Linked DNA regions of Caenorhabditis elegans. The protein of the gene in region 1 interacts with the protein of each later gene in a pairwise test. Each region holds a gene or a part of one and is shown in the gene's direction. Other genes may lie near its edges.

Region 1 (6,698 bases):
CATGTAGTTGTATTCACGACGGATGGTTCCCTAAAGTTTGATACGTTTTTTTGATTTTGTAATCCAAAATCCAAAATCCATGAATTCATAGTCTATGATATAACTTACATAATCAATGATATCACAGAAATGAACTCCATTGTGGCGTCTGATACTCAACAAAACCTTAATTTCCATTGGAAGCATCCCTGTTGAATACTTTTCGGCTTTGATTGCAACACTTCTGAAATAGTTCATTTTTCATAGAGATTCAATTCAGAGGAGCTAATTTTCAGAAAGTTTATTATTGGTTTGTTCTGAAATTTAATGAAGTGAGTAAACTAGAAAATGATCTACAATTCTGGAAAAGTAATAGGACATTTATTTGAGATGTACGCATAATGCCTCAAAGGGCATTATGAACCCATGGTACGATGTGGTAGTTTTCAGAAAACCACATAAATTTTGCGTGGAATAGTTCGCGTGACGCACTTCTTTTAAAGTTGCCGCGATTTGGAAAGAGCAAAAAACCAAATAAGCTACAAACCTGCCACCAAAAATGCTCAGAAAAACATGTCCCATTGCACCATCGCCCAGCTTCTGACGCAAAATGAAACGATCTCCTTTATCATTTTCAAAATATTCTCCAACCGTCGGAAGACGATCCTTTCTCTCCGGCTTATCCTTAATCGCCGGTCCACGATGACGTGGCTCGGGAGCTGGAAGCTGATGAGCAGCGATGTGCTCCATTGCGACAGACTCTTGAGCCACCACGAGATTTGCTTTAGAGCGTTTGTGGTTCAACTGAAATGATTTGATATTCTAAAGATGAAGAGAGATCGGAAGCTTGATCGTACATTTTCCTCGGCAACCAATGTTGGAGTGTTGGGAATTTGAACCATGTCGGTTTGATCCAACGCTGAAAATAAGTATTTGAAGAATTGATTAGAAAATGTCCAATGTAAATCTATAGACTATTTTGAATGCTTTAAAGTACAATTCATATTTACAATAGTCCAATATCCGCATCTCAAAAGTTCTAGAAGATTCCAGGAGATTTCTAAAACGTAAATCTCCAGCTGAAAATGACTTACCAGTCGCCATGATGATCACAGTAGAACTTTAATCCTTCGAAAACTGAGTGTGATAAATTCAGTATTGATTTTTTTTCCTAATCTTCAAAGTTCATCTGCCCAAAAAAATTCCAACAAGTGTGACACGGGGGCGGGTCACAAACAAAAACGTGAGATGTTATTATTTTAAGTCTTCTAGAATTCATTCTCCGTTACCGAGAAAACAATTTTTGACGTTGTTGTTTGCATTGATTCTCTTCTGAAAATAATGGGACAAAAGTGGAGTGGAACAGTTTCGGTAAGAATTTTAATATTGGAAATGTTCATTTTATTGTTCTGTTTCAGAAAACACCATCGAATCCAACTGTCTCTGTATGTGTTTTGTTTCAGAAAAATATCTAAAAAACTCAATTTTTGTTCAGAAATCTTCGTCGGCACCATCTTTAAAATCAACGCCGAAATCGGATAGAGAAGACCAAGAAAAGTCTAAGGTAAATCCTCTTCCCCTCAATAGTGGCCGAGTTTTCATTTTCACGGTCACTAATGAACCTTTGCCTAATGTTGCCACGTAACAGAAGTTCAATGAAGTTTTTTTAATCAAAATTTTGATAATGGCATGCTTCCGAAATACTTTTAATTTTCAGAACATGAAGCCATCGTCGTCGAGCAGTAATAGTCACCGGGCAGACCCTCCGAAGCCTAAAGAAGATGTAGGTTCTTATTTTACTGTGATTCACTAGTAGGATACGCTATATATGTTTCAAAATGTTTCGTGTATGCTCCTTTAAGATTACTGTAGGAAATTTCCAGGAAATTTCCAGTTACTTATTTTAAAAAAACTATCTTCTGTCTACAGTAATCTTAAAGGTGCATACCCACAAAATTACACTTCGCGTGGCGAGACCCATCCGCAGGAATATAATGTTTTACTTTCAGAATGTGTATGAGAATCTCAGCTACAAAGGTTAAAACCAACATGAAGATCTTTTCGTACATTTGTCCGATTGACTTTTTAAAATTATTTTTAATTTCAATAAATAGTTTTGAAGTCAAATTTGTTTTTCTATTTTTTTTTCACTCGAGATTAATGATCAACGACAAGTTTTGAATTTTCTGACATCTCCTTGGACACTTTCTGAATCTCTACGACTACCCGATGCCCGTTGAGAGGGAGCGATAAGTATGTCTTTCTAATTTTAGGGTTTCAAGATGTATTGGCTTTTTTTCTAAAAATTTCTGACACTTCTGGCTGAATTCTACAAAAAAATTTCACACGATGCCTATTATTTCATTTGCCACTGGATATATGTACTTGATATTCGGGTCATTTAAAGTTTTCAAAAATATTGGAATTTCGACGATGGAGTCGTATACTTTCAGTTTAATTCTCACAATTTTTATGTTTTTACATATTGAACGAATCGCGAGATCAACGTTTGGAAATGTAATTTGTCCAAGAAGTTTTGCTCTGCAAATGGTTCTAACACATTTCTCAATGATAATTGTCATTATTGTAATTGTTGGAATTGTATGGATCGCCCCTAGCACTGTACGTGATATTTCAATCCTTTTCCTAGATTTTACTATTTCAGATCACCCAAATCGTATCGTTTCTACTTTTTGCATTTTTCGGGTATCTTTTAAACATTGGTCCAGGAACATTCCCAACTTTCTCGGTGGCGGACCCATTTTACTGGAATCAGAATAGAGCAATTTCTCCTTCGTACGATAGAGCCTTCAAAACAGTTATGCTATGTGGTATCTCTTTCAGTTTCGTAGGTTTCCTCACAATCTGTAGTCTGAAATATTATCACAGGCGCACCTTGATTTTTTCTGGTATTCAATAGCATCAAGTTGTTTAATAATGTTTGATGTCATTTTAATGGCACACTATTGGGAAATTTTCGGTCCAGATGATCCGGGAGAAGAACCAAGGATTGATCATGTGGATAATTTGCATATGGATTGATAACTCTCGTACCTTAATCATTCTAAATTTTGAGAAACTTCCTCACAATAAAATAAAGCATCGAAAAATAAAGTTGTTGTGTTTCAAAATTTCGTAATTTTTCACAATGTTTTGAAACACACCTCAAAATAGTGCTATTCGGAATACTTTCATTCGTTCTGACTATCGCGTTGAACTAAAATTGTGAGTTTCTTTTTATCTAATACCTATGATTTTTAACAAATTCTGAAGAACTTATCAACAATTGTCTTTAACCAACAACTTATAAATACCACTAACTAAATTTTTCAGATTTTGTAAGAGAAATCTCTAAAATACATGTGTTAAATAAATGTCCAAAAAATATGAAACAATAAAATATGCAATACCCCCGAAAATTTTATTCAAAATATCAACACAATTGTTTGCTGAAGATGCGATGAAAAGAAAACGACACAGCTGAAACGAGTGTTACCGTAGTCATGCGCCTTTGACGCGCTCAGGTCTCGTAGTGAAACGAGGAAATAGCAGTTTTTCTCTTCAATTCCTAAACTTCTTTTCGATTTTTCAAGCCTTGGAATGATTTTTTTGCCTAATTTTTGATGTACAAAATTAGAAAATGATAGCTTTCAAATTTCCATTAAGCAAAAATTTTGATTCTCTGAAGGGTGTCGCTAATTTTTGTTGTTTTCGTGAAAATTTCTTTATTTGTGTACTTTATATTAATTTTTTACAGGAAACTCCAAATACTGGGTAGCAAGACGAAATGAGGTGAGTTTTTTAAATCATTTCCAATTGAAAGATCAGTCCAAGCGTCTTTTGAAGATATGACTTTCGTTTAATTGAGAATTGTGCAAAATTTGCATTTTTAATTATTGATTTTTCAGCAATCTCCGTCTGCAGAAACGTTTGGCTTCGGCCGTATTGAAGTGCGGAAAGCACCGTGTCTGGCTCGACCCCAATGAGGTCAGCGAGATTTCTGGAGCCAACTCCCGTCAAAGCATCCGCAGACTCGTCAATGACGGACTTATCATCCGCAAGCCAGTCACTGTCCACTCCCGCTTCCGCGCACGCGAGTACGAGGAGGCCCGCAGAAAGGTACATTTTTCTTTTAATTGATGCTGTCGATTTTTTAAAAGTTACATTTTAAGTTAAAAAAAAATATTTGGAATTTAGGGACGTCACACCGGTTACGGAAAGCGTCGTGGTACTGCCAATGCTCGTATGCCAGAAAAGACCCTCTGGATCCGACGCATGCGTGTCCTCAGAAACCTTCTGAGAAGATACAGAGATGCCAAGAAGTTGGACAAGCACCTTTACCACGAGCTCTACCTTCGCGCAAAGGGAAACAACTTCAAGAACAAGAAGAATCTCATCGAGTACATCTTCAAGAAGAAGACTGAGAACAAGAGAGCCAAGCAACTTGCGTAAGTTTTACTATTTTTAAATGATTTGTTTTTCCAAATTATTGAGAAGTCTTTCAATCAATTATTCATATTAAAATTCCTGATGATTTCAGTGACCAAGCTCAAGCCAGACGTGACAAGAACAAGGAGAGCCGCAAGCGCCGTGAGGAGAGACAAGTCGTCAAGCGTGCTGAGCTTCTCAGAAAAATTTCCCAGAGCGAGAAGGTTATCGCTGGAAAGTAAAACTTTGTTGTTTTCCTCTATAATGTCAATAAAGTTATTTGTTGAACTCTTTATAATCTGTTATTCTGCAGTTTTGGTAACCTTCTAACACTGTAACATTTTTCAGTCTCTCATGATACTTGGGTTAACCCTAATTAGGGATTGAATAGCTTGGAATCAATAATTCTTCAGGCGGGAGCGAGTAGAATGCGAATTGAAGCTCACCAGGTATTCAATGTGAGTATTCAATTATGCGAGTTCTTCAACGTCGACTTGTCTGATCGGGGTTATTACCAGGTTTTTAAAAACCACAAATCATCGCTTACGTTCAGTTCAGATTCGACTGAGGCCACGAAAAACAGCGGAAATTGGATCAGTAGACATATCACACGATACGGAAGGGGACCGGGATACTGGGTCCGTCGATTATTGATTTGTTCACTGGAATATTCTCTAATTTCAGGCCTAAAACATCGAGTAATATTCTTTTAGCACATGTCTATCAAGGAGCGGCTGTCAGTAAAACAGTTGAAGTAACTTATCAACATGAAAAATTCAATTTAGGTAATAAAATCATCGAAACACCTTTTTTTATCTTACTTTCAGATGATTGGTTCCATATTTCGGTGCAATTCAATTCGACATTGAACTTGTGTGAGCCTCAAAAATTAGAAATTGAAATTGAATTATTGTAAGACAGTCCAACAATTGATTAAACATAAAATCATGAATTAATATAGATACATGGACCGTTATCATCCTCCACAATATGAATCCTTCGTGAAAATCACAAAAAGAATTGTCGAAATTCCTCTGGATCCAACACGACTCGTCGCCGCCGCTCGTTCTTTATATTTTGACAGTACCTACCTATCTGCGATAACTATGAGTGTTTTTAGTAGTTTAGTTATGGTAGCCACGCGGCAACGGAAGGCAAATGCATCAGAATCGGTAAGAATATTCGAGCTTTTTGCGAAAAAATTTGAATGTTTTGGAAAATTTTGAAAAAAGAAACACCTAGGTTTTTCGTTGTGTTTTTTGAATTTTGAGCAGTTCTCAAATACGGAAAACGATCAAATCTTAAAATTTTGCTTGAATAAATATAAAAAATAGCTTGATGTTTAAAAATCTGATCAAACTGTTGCGTCAGTTATTACAGGCATCATCTACAAAAAGCACAAAACTCCGACGAGTTTATAACTCATCTGCACATGCTTTATTATTCGCAACTCGATCTATTCAACAGTTCATCGTCAATAATTCACGGCTCATTAATGCATCGGTTTCAGTTGGTATGAAACAAAAAAAAGTTAATTAATTCGAAAGCATTATTTTACAGTTGTTCTGGATGTACAAACAGAGATGAAAGCGGCTCTTCAACAATTCGATAGCTCAGATCATCCGACAAGATGTGTTGAGACCGATGTATGCGAATGGAGCACTAAAATTACCCTAATATATCAACAAATGTTGATTCTTTTTCGAAAATCAAAAGGTTTGTGTAATTCCTGTAAGAATTTAATCCGAAATTGTCTTTTTTTTTAAACTTGAACGGAATCGGAATCGATTTTTTCAGAGCTCAATCAACAACTGCTTCTCATTTTCGATAAACAACGTCGTGCAGTATTTCGTGAGGCATTTTGGATAAATGAACGACCAATCGATAAATGTTTAATAAGAACACCAGTATCGGTTCTCGAACATTATAAATCTATTATCAAGGTGGATTATTTGAGGAAGCTTCCACGCTGCACAATTTTCTGCGAAGAAACTGATTGTCCTGGAGAATTTTGGTAAATAATATTGATTTTATAAATATTCTCACAAAACAAGAAATTATTTCAGCCCGATTATCTTTGAAGATGTTTTTACTCGAAATTCTGTTGGATTGTTAGATTTGAATAATGCCAATAGGCAGGTCTGTTTCTTATAAAAATTTTGTTTTTGCTGTGTTCAACACAATTTTTTGCAAAAGTCGATATTATTAAAAAATTTTAAATTCAGGTTACCATTCCAAATAGTGCATCGATGCCGGTTGTGAAAGCCCATGAAAAACACAAATCATTCCGC
Region 2 (6,882 bases), on another chromosome or scaffold:
ACCTTGAGCAAGCTGAACTGTTTTTTCATAATTGAACAACTATAAGTGAGACTTACAGCAAATGCATTTGCATCCGTTGCATGGGGAATAATTTTCTGGATGGCAATTTACGATACAGACTGAAATTTTACACAATAACGTATTGAATCATGTGCTCATGGGTGGTAGACACGTTTTAATTAAAAAAAAAAAAAAAAAAAAAAAATCTAAGAAATAGTTTAAATATTATTAAGAAGGTGTTTTCAGGTCAATTTTTTGAACGAAAATTATAATGAAAGAGAGCCACGTGGCAGCAGCATTTATATTTTTCAGAAAACCCACAACTTACTCCGAATGCCTGCTGAGTACCTACAATAGAAAAAAGTTCCAGTGCACAAAATACAATGGGAAAAAGACACCTCTGCATGGTAGATTCGGTATGATTTTAATGGTGGCGGGCTTTTTTACCGAGGCGACAAATCCCTGGACAGATTAAAAAGTAGAATACGGAAATTCAAAAAGATACATTGAAATTTTGTGAATCAATTAATAATCTGTCGTGATTTGTGCAGAGGTGAACAAATCATGCGGGTTTTTCTATGATTTCAAACACAGGCAAAGCGGGTACGGTCCGTTTACGGATCTTGGACCGGGATCGGACCATTAACGGGTGAACTACGGATATGAATAGCGGGACGGACCAATTACGGGCAAACTACGGGGAATGTAAAAAATGGCCATTAAGAGGAAAAAATGGATTTTAAGAAAACGAATTGTTTTTAATACCTATGATACCAGTTGGCTAATTTAAGCATTTTTACGTCGTTAAATGCATTATTTAGAGCAAACACCACATTTACCGACCGAGATGGCTCTTGAGCCGTAGTTGGGCCGTTTCCGGTCCGTAGAAGGTCCGTCGCCGGCCCGTAGACGGACCGTAAATGAACCGTCCCGGGCACCAAATTTTTGTTTTTGAAAATTTCAGGTTCTAGCACGGAAAAAGTGCTGAAATTAGCTAAAGGAGAGTACCCTCTCCTTCTCTCTTCGGCACTTCAAAAACTCCATTTTCATGAAAAATTTTTTCGTATTATCCTCCGTTTTGGTGATCATCCGTAGTTTGGCCGTAGCCGGTCCGTAGATGGTCCGTAAATTACCCGTCCCGGTCGGCAAAACTGCACTTTTTAAAACTAAACCTTGAATCAGGCAAAAAATTAACCAACTGGCTACAATGAACCAAATAGCATTGTAGGTACTTCAAAAACTCAATTTTCATGAAAAAAAAATTCCTCTGGGCAACCATTTTGTCTATCATCTGTCCGACTGGTCCGTACGCGGCCCGTAATCGCATGCGATCTAACTGAGGCTATTAAGCAGAACATTGTGTGTAAAAGAGGTTATATTAATGTATATAAAAATATCAATAAAAAAGATGAAATGCCACAATTGGGTAGATACTGTGTATACGCAACGTTCACTCTCTCTCTGCTGGTCTTCTTCAGCTGAGCAACAGGAGCATTTTTTGAAATATCATAAAATATTTTACTAACAATACATTCTGGAATCATTCCTGATATCGTTTCTGTTCCGTGTGTATTTTAAGAAATTAAGGTATCATTCAAGTAGAACGCATATACCTTATTTCCTCTATTAGTCTTGCAACCCTACGGTCCAATCGAAAATTAGTCTTGCATGCAAGACTAATAGAGGAAATATGGTAAGTACCATTTCTGTATTACAAGTAGATGGAGCACAAATAGGTAGATGTTGAGAAATATGCGAAATAAGTTCTGGACTACACGAAACTGTCAATTGTTATCGTTCGTTTTCATATAAGTCCAACGGCAAGATGGAGAATCAGAAACTACTGAAAATACAATCGAAAAAGTTGGTGTAAGCCGTGAAAACCAGAAGAAAATGCGCTGATCGCTATTTATGCGAAGTCTCTTGATATTCCTCGCGTGCGCGAATGGCCACACGGAAAGGTGATGGGCCAGTAATCAATCGACAGGCAGTGGACAAGTTCAACCCCGGCTGAGGCAGATAGAATTGCTACAACGAAGGATCACCGGAAGACGGTCTGGAGGAAGACCGGAGCTTGGAGCATTGGGAAAGAAAAAGGGGGCAGCTGGAGGGTGAAAAAATTTTCCCATTTTTTAGTCTCCTTACGGTTCAATTACGGTCCGTTGACGGACCGGGAATCGAACCGTGAACTGTTCTTTAATTTGAGCCGTTCCCGGTCCGTGAACGGACCGTTTTGGGCACTTTCCGCTTTGCCTGTGAAAAAACAGTTCCACTGAAAAGTGTTTTTTTGTAATTTTTGATACTTGTTCAAGTTATTAAATGGTCTGCTCAGTTTTCAGTGTTTTTTTTTTGAATTTCGCTTTAACCTGAACCATCCTAATTCAAAAGTATCAATATTCTGACGCAATATTTAAATTTTTTTTGTTAAACTATATCACTTTTTCCATCCAACTTTTGACTGTCAACAGCTCACGTAGCCAATGATAAGAGCGGCACGTACCGTTTGTTATCACTAAATTTTGATGCACGTAGCCAAAATAAATGCTAATCAACATGTCTTAGGGCAGCTCATGTGATGCCGAGACAACCATACATCAACGTTAAGAAAGTGTAGATCATCATTTGATGAGAATTGGGTTTTGTTTGGATCAGGAAAAACCGGAACTTTTTATTTCAGAATTTAGGGCGTTCACTGGAAACGTTCTAACAATACTGGTATAATTTATCTCCCAAAAAACACTTTTCAAGTTTATAACCTATATCTAAGTTTAAAAATTTTGAGTACAGGACAAGTATGAGTTTACGAAGCATCATATTAAAATCAAAATGTAATGTGAATGTGGACGCTAGAAAGCCAGGCGAAAAGGGACATCACACTTCTGCAAAAAGTTATTTTCATTCGGCGATCCTTGGATGTAGTTTTCTTACAGAAGGTTAAGCTTCTCAAAATGTACTTCAACACTTAGGTTTCCATATTAGTTCATTGAAACGCATGTTTCTGTAAACAAGAACCCTTTCGTTGCCAATATGTAATGTGCAAAAATCATAATCAGTTTATCAATGATCACAATCACAAACTCCGCCCCCAGAGTTGTCCAGTTTAAAAACACCCACAGTCCCGGACACGTAATCAAGTCATTATATTTTCTGCCAAGTAAATCGTCATGTCTCTAGCTCGTCAAAACTATCACGATGAAGTCGAAGCGGCCGTCAATAAACAGGTATGATCATTGTTTTGACAAATGGGAAAAATATATTAGGAAGGTTGGAAATTGAGAAGAGATTTAGAAAAAGAGAGGATGTGTCGTGAGAAAATTAATCACTGATGTCTGGTTACTTTAAATTAGGAATTTAACTGATTAATAAAAACATTGAAACACACCACACGCTTATTTTTCCAACCGGCAACATTTTGTTTTTTTTTAACGAACAAGGGCAGGCAGACAGTACCTGAAGAAGCGCAATTTGATCATGGCAGCGTCGATGATTTCTTTGCTCTTATGCCAGTCATCCAAAAAAAATATACAGAATAGGCGGCAGTAGATAGACGAGCACGTGAGACTGAAAGCGTCTACAATAAAAATCCTATCTGAGCTTGCTTTTGAACTGGACGAAATTAACACTGAAATGCTTTTAAAATTAGAAGTATTACTCAATTAAAAGCTTAAATTACCTTTCCAGATTAACGTAGAACTCTACGCCTCCTATGTCTATCTATCGATGTCTGCACACTTCGATCGTGATGATATCGCACTTCGGAACATTGCCAAATTTTTCAAGGAGCAATCGGATGAGGAGCGTGGCCATGCCACAGAGCTCATGAGAATTCAAGCTGTCCGTGGAGGACGTGTTGCCATGCAGAACATTCAGAAGCCAGAGAAAGACGAGTGGGGAACTGTCCTTGAAGCATTTGAAGCCGCACTTGCTCTAGAGAGAGCCAATAATGCATCTTTGTTGAAGCTTCATGGAATCGCCGAACAACGCAATGACGCGCACTTGACAAATTACATTCAGGAGAAGTATTTGGAAGAGCAGGTTGGCATTTTCAGTTTAAACTCCTATTTTTATAACGTTTATTAAGGTACATTCGATCAATGAATTTGCTCGCTACATTGCAAATATCAAGAGAGCCGGCCCAGGACTCGGAGAATATTTGTTCGACAAAGAGGAATTTTCTGATTAATAATTTTTATTTGATGTATTTATTGTACATATGGATGAAATTGTATATTTACTGAAATGAAACACATTGAAAACTTCAGAGATTAGCAGTTCCTAAAAAGGTTCAACCTTTTTTCAACCTTTGTGGCGGAAATCTGAGACACATAAGGTGTTTTTTAAATGTTTATTTGGAAAAACCGTTAGTATATGGAATTAATACAATATAAGGGAAATATTTTGTATTGAAGCTTACAAGAAGCTTTCATTGTTTACAGCGCCATGTGGAATTCTACGTTTTCAGATGTTTTCCCAAAAACAACATAATATATTTGTTCTGGGTATATCAAAAGATTTCCAAAAAAATTATTTCTAATTTTCAAAAAATATCTCTATCGATGTGGAAAGTGTTGTAGAACTTAAAAAAGTTTCTGTATACTTTCAGACAGAATTTTTGTTTTCAATGGCATTTTTTGAATGTTTTCATAACCAACGTGGCTCAATAATGTTTTTGAAATGCACTTATGTACATTTTTGTTCTTAATTATATTTTCAAAACAGCTTCATTTCTTTAAATAATGTGTATATTTAAAAAAAAACCAAAATTGATTAATTTGCATGTTTGAAGTTCGTTAAAATATCTCTAAAAATATATGGATAGAATTTTGGTAATTATTACGCTTCAACTGGAGGTTTACTCAAACCAAATTTTGAATTTTAAAAGTTAATGAATTGAGCTTCATTTCACTTTTTTGTTATTTTCTTGATTGAATACTTTTAGTTTGTTGGAAAAACTGTAATTTCATTAATGTCTTGGTTTTTTTCTCAAAATGTTGAAAAAAAGAAAAATAATTAAACAAAACATAGGAATTATTTTGAGGATATGAGTCACTTACAGACGAAGATTCTAAGAATGCTTGATTTTTTTTTGGTTGACCATTCTATCTAAATATTTCCTCAATAACTCTTCTTTGGAAATCATTGTTTTCTTATTGTGAGAAAAAGTTTTTTTGCAATATGAGAACATTTTATTGTATAAAACTGCGAAAATTTTTCTAGACACGTTGGGTCTTGCTGCGACATTTCCGAATTTATCAGGTATTGTGATGGCACGGTAGAGTATGATAAGATTACTGTAGTAGGCTTTACGATTCTGAAAGAATTAGTATTACGGAAGGAATAGTTTTACCAAAATCAAGTCTTAATTTTTGTAGTAAAAAAAACGAGAGATTGGACGGGAATCCGCATTCACGAGGGAAAAAATTTCAAAATTTAAAATTTAAATGCGTCCCTTTCGAGATTTTTTGCTTACTGGTAAATTTAGAAAAATTTAAATTTAAAAAACTTACAACTTTAAATCTAACTCAAGAAAACTAATTAATCTCTACTTCCAAATGACGTCACTTGTAACACAATTACTTTCAAATTGTATCAGTTTATCATCAGTATCTCATTTTAACCTTTGATTCACTTTATTGTTACCTTGTAACAGAAGACGATGTGTGTATCAATTGGGACGTTACGATTTCTCTTTTTTTCATCGTAGACAAGGCACTGTTGTTTTTATAGCCCCCTACATTGTATTGATGACTTTTCGATTTTTTTTTTCTGGCGATGCCTTTTGAAACTTATGTTAATGCATACTTTTTAATAGTTCAAAATCAAATTTTTGTTTGAAAAGTTGCTTCTAGTTTGATAGGTTTTTTTACCTAAAAATTTGAAAATTTGCAGATGCTGTCAAAATTATTTGTGTTCTTGCTGATATGCTATGCAACAGCAGACGAAGTGGATAAAAAAGAAGCCAAACACGGTTTTCAGGTAAGTTTTGGTGCAAAAAAAGTTTTTGTTCGAAAAAAAAATCCTAATTGCAGTGTTCTTAACCTGAAATAATACGGTATTTACAAATCGTGTTTTTTTTTCGAAACTGATTTAAAAACAAAATGAAAGTTTAGGAATTAAAATTGGAGATATAAAGTAAGTTGAATTAATTTCGAACAATTGTAGAGAATTAAAAAGGAATCAGAAAAACCGTCAAATTCAATTAGATTGATTCAGTTAGACAAGTTAATAAAAAAACCAAAAACTCTCAATTTTTAAACACAACAAAGAAACCTCATTAAAATATCCAGCACAGATAACTTCACACATATTCTGGAAAAGCTAAAAAGTGTTGTCAACAAAAAACAAAAAAAAATTCAAACAAAATTGTAGTATTCAAATTTGTTTTCAAACATAACTCTCCTGCAAATTTGATGGAACATTATTGAAAAATAAAAGAAAGCCAGGAAATTGCATACTGTGATTCGAAAAGTAGATATTAAATTTTTTGGTTTTCAAAATTTTAATCTCTCCACTTACTATTAGAAAAACTTTCAAGATTTTTTTTGAAAATTATTAAGTTTCCGTATTTTTTACAATTTTTTACAACTCGTTCAAATTGAAACATTTGAAGCATTTTAGTAGCTTATAGTCGATAAACCACAAACAATCATCAGTCCAAAAACCAACAATTTCTTGTTTTTCACTGCTTCTTTTTGCGTGTATTCTCCAATACATAACAACTATACGAAAATCCGGATCTTTCCCGATTTATCACAATTTGAACTCATTTATCAACTGATGTCATCCGATCCATCATTATGACGTCATCAGTATCCTAGTTTTGAACGTCGAAAAATCAAAGACTATATGGATTTCCCTTAAATAGAACTGATAAGATTCTGG
Region 3 (11,152 bases), on another chromosome or scaffold:
AAATTTTAAAAATATAGAATGCTATTTAGAAACAGTAAAAAATTTCGAATTTTCACAAAAAATAAAAAACATGATTCTTGTGATTCTTTGCTGCAGAAAAAAACGAAAAATTACTAAACCCCATGTATTTTCTCAGGACCTTGAAACATTAGCTGATTTTTCAAAAACTCAGAAAAAAATCGAGGTTCGAGATGATTCACTTGCCTTTTTCTACGTGTACGTCAGGGCTTCCAGGCAGGCGCAGTTTCAGTGCCTGCCTGAAACCTGCTCGCCTAACGCCGGCCTTTTACCTATTTCATGCGTTTTGGTTTGATTCAATTTTTTTGAAAATCAAATTAAGAAATTAAAAAAAAAAGAGTTTTCATATGTTTCAGCATAAGGTGCAGGTTGAGGCAAGAGGCAGGCGTAGGCCACCTTAAGGTCAGGCAGGCAGACGTTTTGACGCCTACATGGAATTTCTTTGCCGAATTTAAAATTTTAGTTTACTGAACAAAAAATGTACTGTTTCACGTATTCCATGAATTTCCATATTTTGAAAACGTGATATTAGGACACATCCCAGCCTGTCTTACTATTAGCCACCGAAAAACGTAAATTTATGTCTTTGGAATACCAATTTATATGTTTCTAATTTGAAACAAAATACTTCTTCGAAGTGTTACAAAATTGAAAAATGAATTCTTAACATGAAAAGAAGTCACAGCACGGCCGAGAATTTATTCGATTAACATTAACAATCTGAAACAGTCAATTTTTTTTGTCCAATTTTCTAAAACTTAAAGTTTTAACACTTTAGTAAGAGAAAAGTCAATCTGAAAATGAAAACTGCATTTCTGTCCTCCACTAATTGTTAGCTGGGAATTCTCTCTGAAATTCCTGATTTTAGTATCAGAATCTATTTGTCGATAGTGGTAAATCAATAACCCGATCAAAATATGCAAAACGAGTTTAAAATTTAATAACTTGTTGAAACAGTCAAAATTTCGCTAATTTAAAACGAGTAAAGATTCTGTATTAATTTAAAGCAAAAAAAAAAACAATTTGAAAATATTAAAAACCAGTTAGAAACAGTAAATTTTTTATTTCTCATGACCATGAAACATAAGCACATTTTCCAAGTTGGAATGCTCTGTAAAACGAAATAATTGATAGAAAAATTTCAATTTATATCTAACTGTAAATGACCCTTATTAGGATGTAATACAGAAGGATAATCGATAACAATTCATTTTCCATATTGAATATGAGTAACCTGAAACAGTAAACTTTTCATCCAACTTTCTGTAAATTTTGCTGTGCCTTTTGTGTTATTTCAATTAAAAATTGCCATTGATACTTGACTTATCTGAAACAAGATACATTTTTTCTAAAAATTTGAACTTGTAAGTCTTATAAGCTCTATTAATTACCTAGTTTGAACAAAAAACGAAACTTCAGCTCACTAACTAGTGAAATCGAACTTCGAAGTAATGTTTGACAATTTTTGCTTTCCGACAATAGCAGCATTAAACTTGAAAAAAATTTAAATATTGAGAAACATTATTCGATTCATATGTAAGCAATCTGAAACAATATATATGTTTTCTAAAATATTATACTACCTTCATTTTCAACACTGTATTACCCCATTTTATACATTCAGACAATATCAGTAATCTGAAACAGTATTGTTTTCTTCTCAAGTTTGAAATCTTTAAGGTTCCATATAGAAATAGCCCCAGTATAATTTTTTTTTCAATTTCTTTTTCCCGGTATATTCAGATTACTTGTCAGATTGTTATAAAATTTCCAGACTCTAAGCCAATTTTAAAACACGCAAAATTATTTCAGCTTGGCCGAAAAAAAATTAAAAAAAACTAAATTTTCGGTTTCAACACCACATTTTATAATCCTCAAAATGCTAGAACAGTAGTGAGAAATAATAATAGAACTTCATACACTCAGAATAAAAAACTGGAATAAATCTAGCAACGTATAAATAAAATGTTGGTATTTTTAAAGACAACTTGAAACAGTGGAAAAATGTTAAAATTTTCCAAAATTTCCGTCAAATCGTCGTTCACCCAAAATTTGAAAATTTTCCAGATTTTTCAAATTGTTTTCCAATAAAAAATATTTGAATAAAAACCACAAAAACATACATACTTTCGAACATTTTTAGAACATTTGAACAGTAATTTGTCGCGTCGAGACCCGATACAGTAATTTTCGCGCAAAATTTCACGGTTGGGTAATACAAGTAGAACCTTAAATGTTCATGTTCAGCTCATTTTATAATAACTTGAAAAAACCACTACTGTTTCAAAATTAATTTGAACGATTTTTTTTTTGAAAAAAAAAACATATTTTTCTCTAATCCCTCAATAATATCTCCATTTTTTTCCGTCCCCCCAATCATCACAGATATCAGCTGAGACAGGGGAAAAGTGGTGTGAAAACACACAAGTCTCTGCGTCTAGCGGTGTGTAACACTGTCTGCGTCTCTGTGCTCTCTTTGATACTCTCTCCCGTGTGTGTGTGTGCTCCTGGAGCTCTTATACATTTCCAAGTGTTTCTGCTCTCTGCATCTCTTGCCCATTTTCCGCTTTTTTGAGCCAACAACTTCTCATTAGTTTTTTCCTTCGAGTTCTTGTGCAGAGCCACGGCTCTTTCAACAACTCGCACAAATTGAAAGTTTTCGCAATTTTTTCTTGCATTGCACGTACATATTTTCTTTTTTTTTTTCATAATTATTGATGAAAATGAATATGTTTTGTCAAGCGAATATGCTACATTGAAAGTTTTCAGAAACAGTGAAAAATCAAATTGAAATTAACAAAATCTTTCAAAATTTAATCACTTATTTGAAACAGTAAAAAATTTTTTAAAGTATACGTCGATTCTGAAAATACACTGAAAATGAAATAAAATTCTTGAAACTGTAAAAAAATTTTTAACCAATTTTTTTTCACAAATTTTTCTTTGAAAACGTTTCCTTTTTATTACCTCCTTGTCTTCCCATTCCCTTCATTAAAAATCTGAAATTTCCAGACATGATGGGCTCATCGTCGCAAGAGCTTCAAACAGCTCTAACCGACGTCTCAAAGACCTGCCATCACTTGTGGGAAGAGAATAAGGACCTCCAAGGCAGATTTGTGAATGAACTCGGCGAGCTTCAACGTCTGCAAATGGTCATTGCACAGCTGGAACAGCAACAGAGACTAGAAAATGTATTCACTGTGAAACAGCAAATGACAGAGTTACAGAAAAGAGCAGCCACACTTTATGAGCATTTGACACAGAAAAGAAATGATATTGTCATTAAACTTAATGATGGCACCAATTTTGCGACGATGCTACAGGTTGGTTCTTCTAATGTGAAAAAATATGAAAAAAACATAAAAAAAATTTTACTGTTTCAAAGTTTTGTGAAATATGAATTAAAATTTTTTACTTTACTTGACTGTCGAAGACCATTTCCATTAAAAAACTCTAATACAAGATTTACTTTTTTGAAAAATCCTTCAAATTTTGAAGAATTTTGCATGTTCAGTAAATTCATGCTAAAAATATTTTTATTCTTTTAATGTTTCAAGTGAATGTTTTGTTTAAAAAAAGCATTAAGAAATCTTTTAATATGAAATTACATCAAAAATGAACTGAAATACAAAAATTAATTAAAAATTTAATGTTTCCCATGCATTTCATATATTGAACGCGCGAAAATGTCATACTTTAAAACTGGCCTGCAATCTAGCTCTCTTATCTGAAAAAAAGTTAGTTATAATATTTACAGTTTCACACTTTTATCAAATTTAATCTTTTTTTTCCTTTTACATTGATTTTGCATAAAATTTGACAATTTTTTTTAAAGAGAAATATTTTTAAAAAAATACTGTTTCACAGTTTAATCAAATTTTCTATGCGTTGCAATATTTTAATCAATCTTCATTTCCAGACCCAACTAATTGGCGAAAAGCTGTTCTCCTGGAAAAATGCCCAAAAACTTGCCCAAATCGGAATGCCTTTCGATAATCGCGAACAGCTGCTTGATGAAATTCAAATTGAATTCGAATTTCTCGCTGATCAAAACTGGCAGCTTAACATGTTCTCGTGTTGGATGCTCGACTTGCTCCGACGTGCTCCACAGTTAAATGATGGGCTCGCTCAGGCAACAATTGGAAAGTTGACTGCAATTACAGAACAATTGAACAAATTACTTTTTATGCTGGTTTCACAGAGTTTTATTGTTTCCGTTCAACCGGAACCTGTTTTGAAGACTCAACATAAATTTGTCACTGAGGTTTGTTTTTTAATGGAAATTATACATGTCAAATTTTGGTGGGTCCCGCCGCGAAAACCACACCGTCGTGACGAGACCCAACTTAGTTAGAATTCAAGCAAATTATAAGAAACAATAAAAAAAAATTCAAAAATTTTAATTAAAACTTTACCGTTTCAAAAGTCATTCAAATAAATATGTAAGTCATACTCAACAATTTTATTTAAGAAGTTCAATTCGAATATAATGTGTGCCACGCATTTGTTCAGCTTGAAAATTTCTGGGTCCCACCACAAAAACTACAGTTCCACCCCACCTAATTTTACGGGTTACTGTAGTTTCCGCTGTGGGACGCAGCAATTTCAGAATCCTGATTTTTCAATAAAATTACAAAAAAAAACTAAAATTTCCAGGTCCGTCTTCTCATTGGCGATAAGCTGGGAATTCGTCAACACCTGGTGAACACAAATGTTTCAGTGAAAATTATAGCAGAAGATGAAGCCAAGCAGTTGAGTGTTGACTATGATGCACATAAGGAAATGTGAGTTTTTTTTAATGAAAAATTTGAAACAGTAAATTTTTGAAAAATTGAGAAAATTTTTTTTTCTAAAACTTATACTTTTTCGTATTATTTTTATATACTTTTCTTATTTTTTGTGGTTAATTTGTAGTTGTATCACTATATTCAACACTAATATTTTTCAGCCGTAACAACAAGACAGTTGGCACAATTTCCAATGATTTCGAGAAGCTCACAATGAATGAAAGAGGACACTTGGCGGCAAAATTCAATAATTCAAAATTGACAAGAATTGCACACAGAAAACCGCCCCCAAAAGGAGCATCTGACTTGAAATGTGCAGCAAGTATGCAGGCAGCTACTGATCAGAAATATGCTCTTTTATTCTTTATTACACCTTTTCAAATGGGTAATTTGAGCAAAGTAAGTTGTTGATATTTCAATTATGACTTGATTTTTTTTGAACGTAGTCAGTAACTCAAACTCAAATGCAAAATCTTTTAAAAACAACGTGAAACAGCAAAACATTTATTTTTTATTTTTTCACTGTTTCAACAAAAAGTTTAAAATTTATTTCAAAATTTGAGTCTGATAAACGAACAATGGTTGAACCAAACATTTCCAACATTTCTTTCGGTTTTCACTTTGAATTACTGAAATTTTCTAACTGGATTAGTAAAAGCAGTAATTCTATATTCAAAAAAGTGTAAAGAAACTTGAGAATTTTCACTGTTTCAGCTACTCTTAATTTTCAAAATTTAATATGTCCTCCAATTTCTATCAATTAAAATTTAACAGGAAGAACAATTCGACGTTTGGACACTTTCTCTTCCAATAATGGTTACAGTACACGGATCTCAAGACTGTGACGCGCAAGTTGCAATTCTCTGGCACCGCGCATTCGCCTCAATCAGCAGAAATCCAAATACAACTGATGTGACAGCTGTGACATGGGACAATCTAGCAATAATGCTTCGAAACAAGTTCTCCTTATTCACGGGAGCACGTCGTCCACTTTCAGATTCAGATTTGGCATATTTAAGTGAGAAAATGTTAATGCCAAATGTGGCAGATCAGAAGCCAATCACATTTCATCGATTCGCAAAACAGGCAATGAGAGATGACTTACCATTCTCATTTTGGGAATGGTTTTTCTCAATAATGCAATTAATCAAACAAAAACTGCTCAAATTCTGGGATGAGGGATGGTGCATTGGATTTATTTCAAAAAATGATGCGTCTCAAAGTATGATGATGTGTCAGCACTCTTCATTTTTATTGAGATTCTCTGACAGTCAAACTGGTGCTGTATCGATTGGTTTTGTTTGTGAAGAGGCTGATGGACAAAAGATTCCATTTCATTTGGCACCTTTTACTATTAAGGATTTGGATCAATTGTCACTGGCAAGTCGTATTGCTTCATGTCCACAATTGAAGGATATTCGGTTAGTTTTAGACGCGAAAAGTTTACCATGTTGTTAAGTATGCTTAGTTACGGTCAAAAATGGAAATGTTTAAAAAAAATTGGAAAAATGAAAAAAATTATACTGTTTCACTAAATATTTTATGTGGTTAAGAAATTGGACAAAAAATAAAAAGTTCAAAAATACTACTTTTTCATTGAAGAATCATAAATAGCCTCAATTGCAATAGTTTGATATTTCTGTAACCACGAAAGTGAATTGAATTTTCACGCGATTACTGGGACGTAAGTATCGTACCTGCCTACGTACCTGCCTACCGCCTATTTTCTGCGCCCTGGCGGGAAATTATGTGATCTATGTTCTCACCGTCCAAAAAAAAAAAAACTTCAACTGTTTCACTTAAGAATTATATAAGTTGTTCCTTCTTTTTTTAATGTTAAGAAAATACTCCTTCATCTTTTCTAATTATTATAATTTGATTAAACTCTTTTCAATCAGTGATCAATTTAAACAAAAAATGTTAAAATTAAAGTCAGAAGTGCCAAATAAAAAAAAAGGGTAAATAAAAGTTAATTTTAGGAGTGAAAACTTAACAAGATGTTAAGTTTGTTCAGTTACAGTAAAAAATAAGTGTGAAGAAAATTGAAAAAATGAAAAAAAATTATACTGTTTCACTAAATACTTTTATCATTTGGTTTGAAGTTATTGCATTCTTATTGCATTCTCTTTCATAACAACAATTTTCGGGTCTTACCACGTTTTGAAACCTTTGAATTTCAAAATTTTGCTATGAAAACTGGCACATTTAAACAAAACAAATATTTTTTATGTGGTTAAGAAATTGGAAAAATTTGAGAAAAAGTTCAAATTTTCTACTGTTTCATTGAATAATCATAAATAGCTTCAATTGCAATCGTTTGATATTTCTAATCTTTGTGAATCACCCTGAAAAATATATATAAATAATGTTCACATTTTTCACATTCACATCAGTACTAAGAAATACACCTTCTTGCCTTGTGCTTACCTACCTACCACCTATTTTCTGCGGCCCGGCTGGAAATTATGTGATTTATGATTTCACCGTTCAGGCTGAAGCACTTTTGATAATATTTCTGAACGTGGATATAAATTATGTCAGCAGTTATTTTGAACAAAATTAACAAAAATTTGAAAAAAAACTTCAACTGTTTCACTTAAGAATTATAAAAGTTGTCCCTTCTTTTGTTAATGTTGCAATTCCGAAATACTTATTACAACAAATGCATCATTATAATTTGATCTAAATCTTTTGAAACTGTGATCATTTTACAAAAATATTCAAATGAAAGTTAAAATTGCCAATTTAAATAAAATACAGGAATTTAAAAAAATTTTTTTTTTTTCTATTGTTTCACTAAATAATTTTATATGGTTTTTTTCATTGAACGATATTGAAAATGGCATCAATTGTATAATTGTTAAATACACTTTTCTCCGTACTTTTTAGGTCTCATCACCATCTCGATACTGTGATTTTTAATAATTTATTATAAGAACTGTCAGCACAGCAGTTTTGAACAAAAAGTTTCATTTCCAAATATTTCATTTTTCTACTGTTTCATTGAATAATTATTAAAAACATCAGTCCCATTTTTCTGATATATTTTTTAAAAATATTTTTTGGATCCAATTAGTAAACATCATGAAAGTACATGAAATGTTAACATGAACACTTTCTATAACTGGACACCTCCTGCCTGCCTACCTACTTGCCTACCGCCTATTTTCCGTTTTTACTCCAACTGTAATTTTTTGAATTTTCTCGTTATAGGCAAAAGTGGGTTACAAATGACACTTTTTAAAATTGGATAATAACGGTGTGAAAATAGAATGAATGCAGAAACATGCGCTCGTGAATAATAACTAACTGAAACTGGGTGGAATTTTTACTAAAATAAAATCCGGAAATTGTGAAAACTGCACGGAGTAACTCAAAAAACTAATCGTTTTTATAAAAATTCTAAGGCAAAAAAGTTAGCCTGTCTGCCTACGGTGTAATTCTTCAAGAAAGTCAAATTTTGAAATTAGTGAATTAAAAAAAAATTATGCTGTTTCAGGTTGTTGATAAATTATCGGTTAATTTCTAACATCAGTAAACATCTCACATCTGGTCGAAAGTTTGAAAATATTAGATACAATCGATGTAAGGGCTGCTATGTTGGGCCGAAAATTACTGTTTGACTATAGGCAAGCTACGCCTGACGTGTGCCTTCTACCAGGGGAAGAATGTGTTTCATTTCTTTGCCATTAAATTAATTGAAATAATAACACTTACATTTAAATTTTCGGCTTAGTTGAAACAATGGTAGGCAGCAATGTAGGCAGAACGACTTGCCTACCTACAGCTTCAACAAGGCCTTAGCGCCTACTTAGAAAGCCTGATGAATTTAAAGCAATTTATTTTGGAAAAATGCCAAAGCATGTTTCAAGTTGTTCATTTTTCAAAGTCTAATATTCAAAAATATTAGTGAATCACTCAGTTTTTTTTTGAAAAAAAAACAAGGTCTCGCAACGGTTTATAATTCTTATTTTACTTTGAAAAATAACCGCCAGCCTATTAAAAATACGAATTAAAAAAAAACGCAAAATGAAAATATTTTTCTGTTTCACTGAAAAGAGATAAGATCATGGCTTAGAATTCGGACAATGCCTCTTCAAAAAATGACAAAAAATGTTTCAAATTGTCTATTTGTAAATCATGTTTCTGAAAAATTTAAATTTTTCCAGAAGTCGCAGATTTTAGAGTCGAGACCCAATTTTTAAGGTTTGACAAAACATTGACTTGAGCTGTAATCTCTCAAAATACATTGTAGACATGTAAAATGTGAAAATGTTTCTACCAATAGAAATTGAAATTAGAAAACAACAATTTTTCTCACAAATTCTTGAAACAGTGAAAAATTTTTTATTTCAACCGAGTTAATTAAGGTAGCAACACATAACTAACAGCGTTCCTCTTAACTTACAAATTTTGAAACATGAAATAAAAACCTCTAAATTTCAGATACATGTACCCGGCAATCGATAAAGAAGAAATGCTGCGTTTCTTCGAGTCCGAGGAGCGTCATCGCGTGGGCGGTGGTGACAGTCCAACTGGATATATTCAAAGTGAAATTGTCATGGTTGCAAAAACAAATGGGTAGGTTACAGATGGAAAGTTTAGAAATTCGGTTTATTTTAGGAATTTCAGACGAATGTCCAATGCACCGTCCATGTTTGGTGCAGATTCTCCGTCACCGTTGTCGGTTCAAAGCAAATTGGATTGGTCACCCGGGGAGGTTCATCAGAATCATATGATGGAGATGTGAGTGATGTGTTCAAAAAGTTTATGCGTTCGGGGGGAATCGAACCCCCGTCGAATGCTTGGAAGGCATCCATGCTGACCATTACACCACGAACGCGGCGAGAAGTCGCTTTCTCAGTGGCCGTTATCAAACTAATGACATCTCATCTAAAGTGACATTCGATAAAGAAATTTCCAAAAATTACAAAATGCGCTCCAATGCTAATTCCACTGTTTTTTCCAGGTCCGACGAACTTGGTCAAATCCTAACAGTCTCGGATATGTCGGGAGATGTAGAAACTCTATTGGGACCAGCATTCAAGAATAATATCACAAACTACAATCCACACGATGGAAATCATCAGCATAACCTTCATTTTGTGGATATGTCCCAACAGGGAATGATGCAACAGCACCACAATCAATTTTATCCCTCATAAAACACTATTTAAATGTTAAAACAGTCCCCCCAATTACCTCTTTTTGAATTTCTCTGTCTCCAGTTTAGTATTCATATCTTTGCTTCTTTCGTGCTGTCCATCTTCCTCAATTCTTTGATAATCTAATATTATTTTGACAATATTTACTGAAAATAATATTAATAATCACAAGTGATTTCTGATCTCATCCAATAAATTATTTTACTGTAAATCGAATGTTTTGATCTGTTCCACGATGGAGACAGGAAGCTAGAAAGTTTCATATAAGCACGTGATTCTAACCAAAAAAAAAAAATTAATTTTACTGTTTCAGGAAAATGTTATCAGTAAATGCAATTTCTAAATATCGATGGGGATCAAGAGCACGATCATAATTTAAACTGTAGGAGATGAAACTGGAGAAGTCGTGGAATTGAGATGAAAGAAAATAGAATAGAACTATTGTCTTCTCACTAAAGGAAAACTGAATTTTCAGACAAACATAACAGAAAACATGACATGTTCAATAACTTTTTCAAATATCTGTAAATGGCAAATCAAGCCCCGGGGATCAATTTCAGTTCTCTGCTCTAAAATATTTTCATATCATTTACGTTTTGCAGCATGGAGATTTAAAAAAAAGTAATGAAAACTATTGTCAGTTTTGAATGAAAATCATATATGTACTGTATAAAATTGCTGAAGTTTTGGATAATTATTAAAAAAATTCAAGACTCTTCAAGTTTATTTTCAAAATGTTGAAGAACTCTCTATCAGTCGATTTTAGATTTCAGTTATTTTCTCAAAGATATTGTGAGTTGAACGCATTCAAACACATACAAAAATATACAACTGTTATTAAAAACTCAAAGAAAATGTAGTTTTATAAAACTTTTAATTTTGAATAAGAAATTTCTATAAATGCATGTGAATTGATTGAATTAAATATCTAATTAAATTTTCAAACATTCTAGGCAAAGCTGTAAACGACAAAATCACGAAAGCATTAGTAGCTCAAATGTATTGTGAATAAAAACCTGTTGAAACAGTGGAAAATTTTTTGAAAAATTGTTTTCTTGAGTTGGAAAATTTGTGTAGCTCCTATTGCGTATATTCTCTATACGTATTTTGAAATTTCCCAAGCCACTTTCTTTTTATTCCCTACCTTTTTCCAGCTTCTCCCTTTTGTAAATGAGCTCGGCG

The links. Proteins that work in one complex are often made in the same cells at the same time.
Region 2: the proteins of rpl-19 (region 1) and ftn-1 interact in a two-hybrid assay, tested with the Caenorhabditis elegans proteins (one large-scale study listed by BioGRID).
Region 3: the proteins of rpl-19 (region 1) and sta-1 interact in a two-hybrid assay, tested with the Caenorhabditis elegans proteins (one large-scale study listed by BioGRID).

What each region holds. Positions count from the first base shown.
Region 1 is NC_003279.8:5,482,781-5,489,478, reverse strand, and holds rpl-19 (Large ribosomal subunit protein eL19), read left to right. Parts: upstream 1-3,736; 5' UTR 3,737-3,766; coding exon 3,767-3,771; intron 3,772-3,887; coding exon 3,888-4,098; intron 4,099-4,176; coding exon 4,177-4,427; intron 4,428-4,519; coding exon 4,520-4,649; 3' UTR 4,650-4,700; downstream 4,701-6,698. Other genes in the region: C09D4.3 (Protein kinase domain-containing protein), read right to left, coding at 1-30, 109-223, 527-783, 837-898, 1,074-1,083; C09D4.9 (Protein AF-9), read left to right, coding at 1,321-1,350, 1,398-1,424, 1,475-1,543, 1,697-1,762, 1,989-2,021; C09D4.6 (Cytochrome b), read left to right, coding at 2,329-2,760; C09D4.4 (DUF676 domain-containing protein), read left to right, coding at 4,836-4,925, 4,966-5,045, 5,092-5,192, 5,235-5,319, 5,369-5,579, 5,779-5,920, 5,968-6,123, 6,205-6,421 and 2 more.
Region 2 is NC_003283.11:7,543,846-7,550,727, reverse strand, and holds ftn-1 (Ferritin), read left to right. Parts: upstream 1-3,148; 5' UTR 3,149-3,164; coding exon 3,165-3,221; intron 3,222-3,681; coding exon 3,682-4,035; intron 4,036-4,081; coding exon 4,082-4,183; 3' UTR 4,184-4,260; downstream 4,261-6,882. Other genes in the region: C54F6.19 (SWIM-type domain-containing protein), read right to left, coding at 5,137-5,241; putative Na(+)/H(+) antiporter nhx-3, read left to right, coding at 5,890-5,976.
Region 3 is NC_003282.8:16,661,290-16,672,441, forward strand, and holds sta-1 (Signal transducer and activator of transcription 1), read left to right. Parts: upstream 1-3,030; 5' UTR 3,031-3,032; coding exon 3,033-3,341; intron 3,342-3,437; exon of another isoform or gene 3,438-3,458; intron 3,459-3,713; exon of another isoform or gene 3,714-3,734; intron 3,735-3,817; exon of another isoform or gene 3,818-3,838; intron 3,839-3,920; exon of another isoform or gene 3,921-3,937; coding exon 3,938-4,282; intron 4,283-4,295; exon of another isoform or gene 4,296-4,316; intron 4,317-4,478; exon of another isoform or gene 4,479-4,499; intron 4,500-4,674; coding exon 4,675-4,802; intron 4,803-4,925; exon of another isoform or gene 4,926-4,946; intron 4,947-4,966; coding exon 4,967-5,204; intron 5,205-5,232; exon of another isoform or gene 5,233-5,253; intron 5,254-5,372; exon of another isoform or gene 5,373-5,393; intron 5,394-5,579; coding exon 5,580-6,226; coding exon of another isoform or gene 6,227-6,263; intron 6,264-6,373; exon of another isoform or gene 6,374-6,394; intron 6,395-6,439; exon of another isoform or gene 6,440-6,460; intron 6,461-6,641; exon of another isoform or gene 6,642-6,662; intron 6,663-6,699; exon of another isoform or gene 6,700-6,720; intron 6,721-6,915; exon of another isoform or gene 6,916-6,937; intron 6,938-7,125; and 27 more. UniProt on the Caenorhabditis elegans protein: Carries out a dual function: signal transduction and activation of transcription. Activated STAT proteins play a role in repression of dauer formation.